Linked DNA regions of Nothobranchius furzeri. The protein of the gene in region 1 purifies or fractionates together with the protein of each later gene. This does not show direct contact. Links are inferred from orthologs where the notes say so. Each region holds a gene or a part of one and is shown in the gene's direction. Other genes may lie near its edges.

Region 1 (5,887 bases):
ACAGAGCTGTTGCAGTATGTCAATATTTGTATTTAAGTTGCACCCAGTGACCTTGGGTGTTCTGAAAGGCGCTTTTAAATAAAATGTATTATTATTATTATTATTAAACACGTCTGTTTATAATTTCCCTGAGCTGGAGAAAAAAAGGTAAAAAAAAAAAAGAAATAGATAGTTAATAAGACAATCTGATTATTTTACAATTTACTTAATAGTGAATAAATGAAACTTTAATCCTTTAAGGTCCCAATGAGTATAAAATGAAAAGCTGGAGGAAATTATCACACCATATTTAGTTACATTGGATCTTTAATCCCAACACGGATTAGAATACAAATATCATACACTATTTCTCTTTTCAACAGATCATTTTTCCTGTCCTTGGTCCCTGGCAAACATTACAAACAAATGCATAGTGCTAGCATCATTTGAATATTTAAAACAGTCCCTACAGTCTTTTTAGGTCATTCATTATTATAAAGTGAAAACTAAAAGTTTGCATTCTCCACATAACTTTTAGATTTCACCATCACTTTTGAAGACAGACATTTTGATTAATTTTATTCTATATTTACATATCTTTGGCTGAAATATGTATTCTAAATGTGGCAAGCATGTTGTTCTGATTTAGGAAAAAACATCCTTTGTCCTGGTTTTGCTAACGCTTTACTTTATGTAGGTGAAAAATTAAAGAGCTCACAGCACCCTTGAGATTCCAGTGAGCCAAAACTGTGGAAGAAAAGAAGATGAAACATGGAGGGAGGTAACCTACTCTACTTTCTTTGTGCCCCTCTGCAGAGGACGTTCAGCTCTCTGCAAAATCCTGTGTAATAAACTAAATGTGTGTAAATGTTGACCCATACAAGCACAGACAAGCTTACTTCATTTAGTTTTCCCTACAGCATCTTCTGTGTGTTGCCATGGAAACACATGGCAGCAGAAGAGAAGGATGAATGTGCAAAAATGGAACAGACACATATAAGCCAGCAATCTCCACACATCACCCACCAGTCGGACTAAAGCCTGAAGACCATTTATAAACAAACACACAAAGTGAAAAAACAAAAAACTGTAAAACACACATATTTTAAAGAGTGTGTGCATAGTAAATAGTCCCTATATTAAACATCCCCCCTTATAACAAAGTCAAATCAGCCACTAGCTGTGCACTCTTACTTTTTGTTTTAATAACTATGGGAGGCTTCAACAGAAAATGATTCCCTGGAAAAAGTGTTGTGGACTGAAATTTTTATTTTAAGATGATGTTACCTATTTAATGATTAGACATTTATAAAGTTAATTCTAGACCATCATGACAATAATCTATTTATGATCTCATTATTTACAGCTGTGAATCCGTGCTGTGTCATATGAAGTGCTTATTGTGTGATTGGTCTGAAAAAAGTGCTTTCTCAAGGAACAATAATTGTGAATTTGTCCACTGCTGCCACCCAGTGGAATATGTGTGAAAGTGAATTAAACTATCAATAATGTAATTTTTTGCAACATCATGATTTTCTCAATTTACCTTTTAACTGTAGAAATACACAATTTAATAGTTCTGTGCCGATATCGTTTTTGCAAACATGCTTTTATTACTCAAAACGTTTGTGCATTTCGTCTTATTTTATTTCAATTTTCGTTTTTATTTTGACCACACTGTCGTTTCACTGTTTTATCCAGTTTAATAATATGATTACATGTTAAAATTAAATCCTTCTTGGATTCTGGATGACGATAAAATCAAGTAAAATCTAACACTAGTCTACATTTACCATCAGCCTTTGCGTTAAGGAAACGCAAGACGTCATTGAGCCAATCACGATGTTAGAACTTTATTTCAACCCCGTTGATTGGCTAGTTTTGCATTTTTCTTCCCACAATGCTTTGCGTAGAATTCAAATCAAGTGGACCAATGAGAAAGCGCCGTGGCGACAGAGCGAGCATTTAACTTAATACTAGAAACTGTTTTCGAAGGGCAGAACAGAACACAGGAGACGCCGCCGTCGGACACGTCTGCTGAATTATTCCATGAGGAAAGCAGATTTATTTTAATATTTATGTCTATATATGTCGTTTTATAATTGTAGAACCTAATGTTAATTATCGCTTGCTTTCAGGAAGTCTAAACTCGTGATTAGATTTAAATTCAGACGTGTATGGGAGAAAGTTAGCTAGCTAGGCTAAAGTAACGTCGGTTGTGTTAGGGTTAGTAGTTTGATTCTTGTAGTTTTCACCACGTTTACTGCGCGGAGAGAAAATAAACATTCCTGTAAGTTCATAGAAGACAGCTCTAATACAAAATGAGTGCTGGTACCGCAAAGCCGTTGGAACGTGCGGATCCCAAATCGGCACCTCTCAAAGAAATCCCAGAAATTCTCGTTGATTCCCGAACCATGAAAAGATACACGAGGGGGAGATTCCTCGGGAAGGGTGGTTTCGCCAAATGCTACGAGATCACAGATGTAGAGACGAAGACGGTGTTTGCTGGCAAGATCGTAGCTAAGTATTTGTTACAAAAGCAGCACCAAAGGGATAAGATGACCTCGGAAATCGCCATACACAAGAGTCTGGATCACGCTAACATCGTCGGCTTCCACGGGTTTTTCGAAGACGATGACCATGTGTTTGTGGTCCTGGAGATCTGCAGGAGAAGGGTGAGTACGATGGAAGGAAACCAGCTTTTCAGTGAGGTTTAGAGCCGACGGTTAAACACTGCGACATCTTCCGTTGTCCTCATGTTTAAATAGTGGGAAGCAAGCAGTACCAGACTCATTTAACACCTCACAACTATTTGATCTTTGATAAAAACATCTTAAAAAGAAACTTCTAGCCTATAAATGTGGGTTTATTGGTCCAGTACCACTCTGGTGGCCCCATGTGTACCATATGTTCAATCTTATAATTAAACGCATAAAAGATCACTCTTTTCTTGAGCTGTTGTCTTGACTGTTTAAAATGCTTTATTTCAGTCCTTGCTGGAGCTGCACAAACGCCGCAAGGCTGTGACGGAGCCTGAAGCTCGCTACTACATGGCCCAGCTGCTGAAGGGTGTCCAGTACCTGCACAACAACAAGGTCATCCACAGAGACCTGAAACTGGGCAATATCTTCCTCAACGACGACATGGATGTCAAAATTGGTACTCCACTTGCTTGGACTTGTAGCTTGCACTAGATCTTTTGTTTTTATCACGTCGAGAAGGATTTGAATCAAAGCATGCCTCGTTATTACGTGTTCTCTCTTGTTTAGGGGACTTTGGCTTGGCGACTAAGATCGAGTTTGAAGGCGAACGAAAGAAGACTTTGTGTGGAACGCCCAACTACATAGCACCAGAAGTGCTTTGTAAAAAGGGCCACAGCTATGAGGTCGATGTCTGGTCACTTGGGTGCATATTGTAAGTACAGGCCCACAAACGCAACTCATTTGAAATGTCCCAGCTGTGAAAGCTTCCCTTTTCTGTTCTTTCAGGTACACTCTGTTGGTGGGCAAGCCCCCGTTTGAGACCTCCTGTTTGAAGGACACCTACAGTCGCATCAAGAAGAACAACTACACCATCCCCTGGGTATGAAAATCAAACTGAATGCACCGTTTTCTTTCTAAAATTAAGTTAATAATTGAGTCGTATGATCTGAACAACCTGCAGCACATCACCCCGACTGCGGCGACTCTGATCAAGAAGATGCTGCACGCCGATCCTGCACAGAGGCCAAGCGTTGCTGAAGTGCAGGCCGATGAGTTCTTTACGTCCGGCTACATCCCCCTCCGTCTGCCCACCACGTGTCTTACTGTACCCCCTCGGTTCTCCATCGCCCCCTCCACAACTGCAGAGCTCAGCCAGCGGCGTCCTCTGACTGCTCTAAACAAGGGTAATGGCGATCAAAATGAAAATCTTTGTTTTTATTTTTCCTAGGCAATGATGTTTGAGTTGATCCACATAGATTTTATTAGTCTTGTTTTAGATGTTAACGTTTTTTTTTTCTTTGTTCCCAGTTGGTACGGAGAAAACGGAGGTGAAAGACGAGCCTATGCAAAGGTGTTTTTCATTTATTTATCACATGACAAACATTTTATAAAAATTCTAGTTCTGTTAGTTTTTATCTTTTCTTTGCGTAGATGTTGTTAACCTTTAAATGTGTGTGTGTGCAGGGCGGCTGAACCATCAGAGCCCTACCTGAAAGACATGCTGCAGCAGCTGAACAGCATCATGTCCACCAAACCCTCTGAAAGGGCCGTCATCCAGCAAGGTTAGTGGACGTGTCTCACTTCGTCTTTACCGATCTTGTGGAGTCTCTGTTGCTATTTCTCTGAATTTTGTCAAAACGGATGCGGTTATCTACTTTTTAATCTACATCTAAGGTTTTTTTGTGTAATTCCAGAGGAGGCCGAGGATCCTGCGTGCATCCCCATCTTCTGGATCAGCAAATGGGTCGACTACTCTGATAAATATGGATTAGGTAAATGTTAGGAGACCGTTTGTTTGTTCACATAAGCTGCAATTTTAACTTTGTAAGTTTGGTTTAGACTATTAAAAGTATATACAGGGTATCTGCAGGTCCATAAAAAGTCTTAAATTAGCTTTTCCAAATTTAAGGCCTTAAAAATCCTTAAAAATGACAAATAGTCCTTAAATAGTTTCCAACGGTCTTAAATTACCAAAGACCCAATAAACAAGATTCTTTTATTTCTATAAAATTTTCATGAATTTCTAGTTAGTTTGGCATTTTTTGTGTATGATATTGGCGTAAGCGGAACCGTACACATTCGGTTGGTTGTGAAAGGGGGCTATTTTTAGATGAGCATGCTAGTGGGAGTTTGCACCATGGGGAAGTGCAACATTAATGGTAAATGGATGGCTAATCCCACGTTCACGACCTGGTTAGCACCGGTTCCAGGCAATAGCTGGAAATTATAGCTTAAATTTAATTTAAAAAAAAAAGAAGCTTAAATTTGGTCAAAGTGGCCTTAAAAAAGGTCTTAAAAAGTCTTAAATCTGGCTCCCTTAAACCTGCAGATACCCTGTATAGATGTTATCTGGTACTGTTAAAAGTATCTTTACAGAGTTTTTAATGTCTGTTCCAGGCTACCAGCTCTGCGACAACAGCGTGGGGGTTCTGTTCAACGATTACACCCGGCTCATCATGTACGCTGACGGAGACAGCCTCCAGTACATCGATAAGACTGCAGCTGAGTCCTACCTCAGCGTTCGCTCTTTCCCCGCTACTCTCAACAAAAAGGTCAGACAGTGTTTTTATTTATTTTTTAATTCCATTTTATCCCCTTCAAGGCCATCACAGTGACTTGTATTTCTCTCTGGCTGTAGATTACGCTGCTGAAATACTTCCGTAACTATATGAGCGAGCACCTCCTGAAAGCTGGGGCCAACATGGCGCGGCGGGAGGGAGATGAGCTGGCACGGCTGCCTTACCTCTCCTTGTGGTTTAGGACGAAAAGCGCCATCGTACTGCACCTCAGCAACGGCACAGTTCAGATCAACTTCTTCCAGGTTAGATGGTTAACCCTTTCACTCAACGCGTGATGCTTCACGTGCGCGATCCCTCATCTTCTATCATTATGTGCTTTTCAGGATCACACCAAGCTGATCTTGTGTCCGCTCATGTCGGCGGTGACCTACATCGACGAGAAGCGAGACTTCCGCACTTACAAGCTGTCTCTTCTGGAGGAGTTCGGCTGCAGTAAGGAGCTGGCTAGCCGCATACGTTACGCCAAGCAGATGGTGGAGAAGCTGCAGGACAGCAAGGCTTCTTCTCCTGCACAATAGTCTAGTTTGTTCCTCAAACCTTCAATCACTTTCCCTTCTAGTCGCAGAACTTTTAATATTACGTGTATTTTTTAAAGCGAAGCAGAGGTTTTCATGTCACACTTACACA
Region 2 (6,086 bases), on another chromosome or scaffold:
GACCTCTCTGACCCTCTAAGGCACTGCTCTTCAGGCCGAGACACAGGACACCTGTTTTACCTCAGACTAGGTTCGTGCACATCACGCTATGACCGCGCATTTCATGAACATAAACATGACCGACGCTAATTTGAATGGACGGGGTGAAAGTGGCCTGCGTCGCGCCTCCGGTGGGACCCGACTCGTAGGAGACGGGACACAAAGCAGAGCGACTGATTTGGCTCTTTATCGAAAACGTGGAGGAAGCGTTCCCTTTTGTATGGATGTGTGGCGATCCTCCCAGGTAACACCTGACCTGATTCGTGAAATAAATCTACTATTGTTGCTAAAAAATGACAAACTTCACTTGACTAAAGGAAAAAACTCCGTTCTGAAACACTGAAATGTGCTTTAGCTGGACTTTCAGTGCCGCTGAAGTGGTGTACATTGATCTACTTTGGGACTGAAGCTCAATCCATTTAAAAGCATGATGCCTACAGTATGACCTCATCAACCTGAAGACATTTATTTTGTAGTTACATTATATTAAAGACCACCCCCTCATATGACCTTTGACCACTCGTGTATTGTGTCTGTAGCAGTTTCTTTGTCATGCTTGCAAGATGTTCTTTATGTATTTTGCCTCTATTTGAAACTCTGAACAGTTAACTAGATATTCAATACCTCGTGTATGAAGTACGTACAGCACTTAGATTTTGATAATTGTGAGGACTCGAGAAAAATTCAAATATCAACATTATCCTTCCTTAGTGTCCACAAGTCTTTGCCTTCACTGTATTGCTGAATTTGGTAGTTAACTCTTGCACATGTCTACATAGGTCAGAGAACTTGGATTGTATTATGTAGAGGTATATATTACACAATTATAAAGAATAATATCCTACATTCTTGGGACAAAACGTGCTGAAAATATTAAAATAAAAATAGAGTGTACAGATTTAATAAACCAGACCCATTCGAAGCCAGTTGTTGTCTGGCAGGCTTGCCCATGGGTTTAGACCTTTCTCTCAGGGTAGTCGTGCTTTTTAAAGCTTTATTGAAACAATTGCTCATGCCAGTGATGGCGGTGATTACAATAAACACTTGATGTAGGGAACGACTATGTTATAACCGTTTAGTAAATAATCACGAGGAAGTTGGATGGTTATGAGCATTTCAGCGGTCACGTAGAACAGTGGTTTGATGCAGTTTTGTAATTCATCACAGATGCGTGTAGACTGGAGTTGCCTGGAAGAGGAGGATGGGTATTTTTAATCTGTAAACTTGCTCTCTAAAACACTGTTTAGTTCACTACTGGAGCTACAGATTCTTTACAGCTAGCGTTCTTACCACCATATTTTGTGCATAATATGCTGTATGATTTGAAGTGGCATTTCTTATGTGAAAACTTCATTGTCTTTTATAGTAATAGATACCTGACTGAAAAAGAAATGTATTTACCTTGACCATCATCTTCTCATGTAAAGCTCATTTAATTGTTTTGCATGCAAGTCATTCTGGTCTCATGACAAGGTGATGGACTGTTTTTTGTGTTATTGTTTTTGAACAGGAACATTGATTCAGCACTTAAGGTCTTTTTACAACTGTGAAGTCCATGCATGGTGCAGCTGATAATTATGGCTCTTGCAAAGTCATTGCAGTTCTTTGAAAACCGGAAGTTAACGATGACCTTTTAAAGATGGCTTCCAGTTTACTATTTAAACCCAAATAATTTTGTGCCATATCATATGCCTCATGCATTTTCCTCACAGATATGTTTAGTGGTGAAGTGTGATCATAGAGGTGTGGGACTTTTTGTATCTCAGTTCAGAAAAAGCTAAGCTTTTTTTATATTGTTACAAGAGCTATACACATAAAATGGGTTTAACAATTGACATTGGTCACTAAATTATGATGGAGGTAGTCAGCGGAATTTGAATAGGGCGATTGGGACTGTGACGACATTTACACGCTGGGTGTGGGAGGTTACCTAAAGGAGAAAACGTCTTTTGAAAGTCAGCGGAGAGCAAATAAAGAAGTGACTTGCAGGCTGAAATTACTGTAATGCCTCACGTGTTAGGCTGTCAAATGTTAACGAGTGAACAATGGTATGTCAAGCCTCTGGGAAATAAAATTACCTATGTAAGCCATCAGTCAGACATCACTAAGCTCTTGCTGTGTCGTGTTATTTCTTTATTCTTTAGGCATGCTCACATTTAGATTCACCACAGATGGATGCTAAAATACCAACCCCTTCCTCTCGCTTTAGTGTGTGTACAGCGCCACGGTCTCATTGTTATTTCGGCAAACCGGGGAAAACCCCATCCAGTGTTTACATGATCGGACCGCGTGGTCTGCTCGAGCCCCGCCCCCTCGCGCAGCGTCGCACTGACGACGTTGCGTCACAAGCGCGAATGTTGTTGGGCTGGCGATTTCGCGGCGGCGATGGCGACGAAGACTCGGCGCTGGAAGAGGACGCACTGAGGCTGGCTTCAGCTCGGATATGACTAATTCCCGTTTGTTTGAGAGCAGTTTCCTTTTGAGTTTTTGCATGGGCTTCGGGTGAATCGCGAGCTTCTGACCACTTCGCTCCTTTCACGGGTGAGTCTCACCGGCTGTGGCGAGCCTTCGGTGTGTTTTGACAGAGGCCTCTGTCCCGGGGTCCGCCCTCCATCTCATAACAAAAACAGTTGCAGAGAGCGGCGCTGCTCTGCTGGGCTGTGGTGTGGTGCGGTGCAGCAACTAATGACAAACATCGACTGATAGGAGCCGACTTGCCGTACTTAACAGGGCTACTTTAAATCCTAATAACACTTACATTTAAGCCTTAGCATGCTAATGTTGCTGAAGATTAGCATGCTAACTGTTGACGTTAACGTTAGCTACAGCGAACGCAGCCGAGTTTCCTCTGATAGGATGTTACCACCACTGCTGCTGGCTCTCTCTAGTCTGTAACAGCTAGCTAGCTAGCTAGTTAGATGATGCTGTCTCAGCTGTCTTCACACTTAAACGCAACCATTATTATTATTATTATTATTAGAGCAACAAACTGCCAGTAAAACAGTAAAATTAATCATTAGTGGTGCTGCGCATGCTAACACCATATGTAGAGCCCGGAGCCTGTCACGGACAGGAGTAGCTCTAACAGGCTTAGCCCTCCGCGTGAAGTCAGCCAGACTCCGCTCGTAGGCTTGTAAACAGAGACGTGAGTGGGACAGATAGGCCTTATCAGGCGGCGGCAGAGCCGAGGCCGGGCGTCAGGACCCAGCTCTCGTTGAGTTGGACGGGATTGTGTCTGTTTGTAAGGACTCGTCTCGGACTCATGAAAAGATGTGTTGTTCTCCCGAGCTGCCACATCCACTGACCTCTTTAGCTCAGGTTTCAGTCTCTGCAGGAGCAGATGACCTTTGCAACCATTTGTTGGGCAGCGCGCTGAGATATTCCTAACAGACCATGTAGAGAAAAGACTTTATATACAGTTTACTTTAGAAAGCATTAACATCTCATTCTTGAAAAATACTAATCTAGTGAGTTCAAACACTAAAAGATGTTGGGTTGTGGTAAAAGGAGCCACGGATTCTGGTGGCAGCAGGACTTCACCAGGGCTGCTGGTGTTTTGGATGCACCTCTCCATCACCACCCTGAAGACGAGATATGAAAGTTGTTTGGTTTTCTGTGACGATCTGCTTTCACATCCATCCGTGATATCCAGCAGGCTTCTCTGGGTCTGACTTTGGTGGTGTCTCAGCTCACGCGCACGCCGCTGTGATCACCACTACATTTATTTTTGCCAGGGAATCAAAGGGGCTTCTCTAGCCTGCATCTCTATAAATACGGCTTCTTCTGTTTGCAAGGTATGAGGATGTTTCAAAGTGAAAGGTTTTTCTTCATTATGCATTTTAATTTCCACAGATTTTCATGTCCTGCTTGTGAGATTTTCCCTACTGGATCAACAGGAGTAACACCGTCCACCGCTGATACTCTGCAGTAAGTGTTGTACTGTATCTGGGCCATCTGCAGCCGTCAGTGTCTGTAGCTGTCTCTGTGAGGTGCTTCAGGCTGCCATATTGAATAGATGTTTAAATGTGGTCATGTTTACCTTTACCTGGTCATTCAAGTCAGTTTATTACCTGGAGAGGACGTCTTTGGGCACGTTGGTTCACACCATCGTCCAAATGAAGCAGGATAATCTTTGGATTATTATTTTAGTTTTGTTGTACATAATTAAATTTTCTGACTGGTTTTCAGAGAGTCGCTGAGCTCTTGCAGAGTTTTCTACCACATAATTACTGGTTTTAATTTGCTGCAGCTTAGGGCCTCTGGTGTTTTCTTTCATTTTTTATTCGTTTGTTTTTTCTGTAATCCCGTTTACCTTGAGGTATGATATTTCCAAAAGAAATTCTTTGGAAGTATTTGGGAAATCTATTTGCATCCTCCTCTTATTTAGCTGCTGTTAGTGCAGAGTCATGTGAGGATTAGAATCCTGTTTGTTGCTGCTGAACGAGCCTTGATGCCTGCAGCTGACACAAACACACTGGTGTTCTGTTAGTTCATGTTTCTGCTCCTCACCAGGCCCGCTCCGACCAACCAGCTCTTAGATGTGTAGCGTGAGATCAGCTCCGGATAGGACCAAATCCTTTAGAGTGTCGAAACATTTGCTTGTTTTTATATCAAGTATAGAACAGTACTGGATCCGCCTGAAGGTTTTAGCTAGGGATGCACGGTATCAGGCCGATACCAGTATTGGTGAAAGGTAATCATTAACAGGAACCGATACCAATGCAGTTGCCTGAAAGTGGCTTCACTGTCATTTCTGTTCACCTAATATTTTTGTTTTTGATCATTTCTACTAATATATTTTATTTTCCTATTGAAAGCAGAGAAGAAAATAAAACCTGTATTCCAATTCATTGCATTTTTTTGTGTGGTAGAGGTTTCGGTATCTGTAATTGGTATCAGCGAGTACTCAGATCCAAGTATCGGTATCGTATCGGTTTGGATTATATCGTTGCATCCCTAGTTTTAGCATTTTCAGGTTTTATCTGCATTTTACTTTTCTTCTTGCAGCCAGATGATATTTTTTAAACATCTCAGATGTTTTATTACTGAATTGAACAAAAACAGTTAAAATTTCTCTGGAAATAATTGGAAACAAGAAAGGAACTTTAATTGTGCAAATGTTTTACATCTCTCTGTGCCCATGTTTTAGTGGTGGGCCTCAGAGAGAAGATGGATGGTATGCCAGAGGGGTTCCAGGTCCGGGTTGAATTAGGAAAACTGAGACTAGTGGGTGTTACAGCTGTGGAGCCAACACAACTCCTAGATCATCGTTTATTTACGTTAGAGCAGTGCTACCCAATCCCGGTCCCCAGCACCCACTGTCCTGCGTGTTTTCCATGTTGCCCTTTCAAACACCAGAGTTTCCCTGCTGCCACACACCCGACTTGTTGAATGAGTGATTACCGGGCTTCCGCAGCACTGATGTTCTCCTGAGGAGTCAATGCAACTATGTAAATCGGGTGGGCTGAAGACGTGGAAGACATGCAGGACAGTTTGCGCTGAGGACCGGGGTTTGGAGAACACTGAGTAAATAGACTTTACAGTCAGTGGTTTTATAGAGTAAAGCTGCTAAATAAAGAAGAGAATTCATGCTAAGTCGTTCTAGCGTTTTCATCTTTAGCTTTATTAACAGTAACATTAGCAGTGGCTCTGGTTGTGCACCATCTTGCCTGTAGCTCATGGGGAAAACTGTTGTTTTAAAAAATGTTTAGTTTCAAAGATAAGAAATCCTTTAATTGTATCAGCACTGTTGACTCGCTGGGGTTGTTTGTTGTTGCAGGCCGATTTGAGTCGGAGCTCCTTGTTGGCTGACCCACACTCCTTCAGCGGGGCCATGGTACTGTCTTTACTTTACTAACGGGTTTGGTGTGGTAACTGCTTTGTCCCTTGGCCTGAATGCAGTCTGTAAAATCCGAACTGTCCATCGATTATCACTTTCCATCAGCTGTTTATCAGGAAGCAGACGGCTGTGTCAAATCTGAACGTGTCAAAGGTCAGCTGGGGACGCAGCTGAAGCAGGGCAGCTTTCAGTTTCCACCGTAGAAACA

Evidence for each region.
Region 2: the proteins of plk1 (region 1) and mtmr3 purify together in Homo sapiens (affinity purification with mass spectrometry; 4 studies listed by BioGRID and IntAct, with this or other methods). This does not show direct contact. The link is inferred for Nothobranchius furzeri from reciprocal best matches to the Homo sapiens genes PLK1 and MTMR3.

Annotation. Positions count from the first base shown.
Region 1 is NC_091744.1:8,885,803-8,891,689, forward strand, and holds the start of plk1 (serine/threonine-protein kinase PLK1), read left to right. Parts: upstream 1-2,120; 5' UTR 2,121-2,300; coding exon 2,301-2,654; intron 2,655-2,969; coding exon 2,970-3,138; intron 3,139-3,248; coding exon 3,249-3,393; intron 3,394-3,467; coding exon 3,468-3,561; intron 3,562-3,642; coding exon 3,643-3,865; intron 3,866-3,989; coding exon 3,990-4,032; intron 4,033-4,145; coding exon 4,146-4,243; intron 4,244-4,375; coding exon 4,376-4,453; intron 4,454-5,078; coding exon 5,079-5,233; intron 5,234-5,319; coding exon 5,320-5,502; intron 5,503-5,583; coding exon 5,584-5,778; 3' UTR 5,779-5,887. UniProt on the Homo sapiens protein: Serine/threonine-protein kinase that performs several important functions throughout M phase of the cell cycle, including the regulation of centrosome maturation and spindle assembly, the removal of cohesins from chromosome arms, the inactivation of anaphase-promoting complex/cyclosome (APC/C) inhibitors, and the regulation of mitotic exit and cytokinesis.
Region 2 is NC_091757.1:28,520,772-28,526,857, forward strand, and holds the start of mtmr3 (myotubularin-related protein 3), read left to right. Parts: upstream 1-2,374; 5' UTR 2,375-2,580; intron 2,581-3,891; 5' UTR 3,892-3,966; intron 3,967-5,818; 5' UTR 5,819-5,872; coding exon 5,873-5,875; intron 5,876-6,086. UniProt on the Homo sapiens protein: Lipid phosphatase that specifically dephosphorylates the D-3 position of phosphatidylinositol 3-phosphate and phosphatidylinositol 3,5-bisphosphate, generating phosphatidylinositol and phosphatidylinositol 5-phosphate.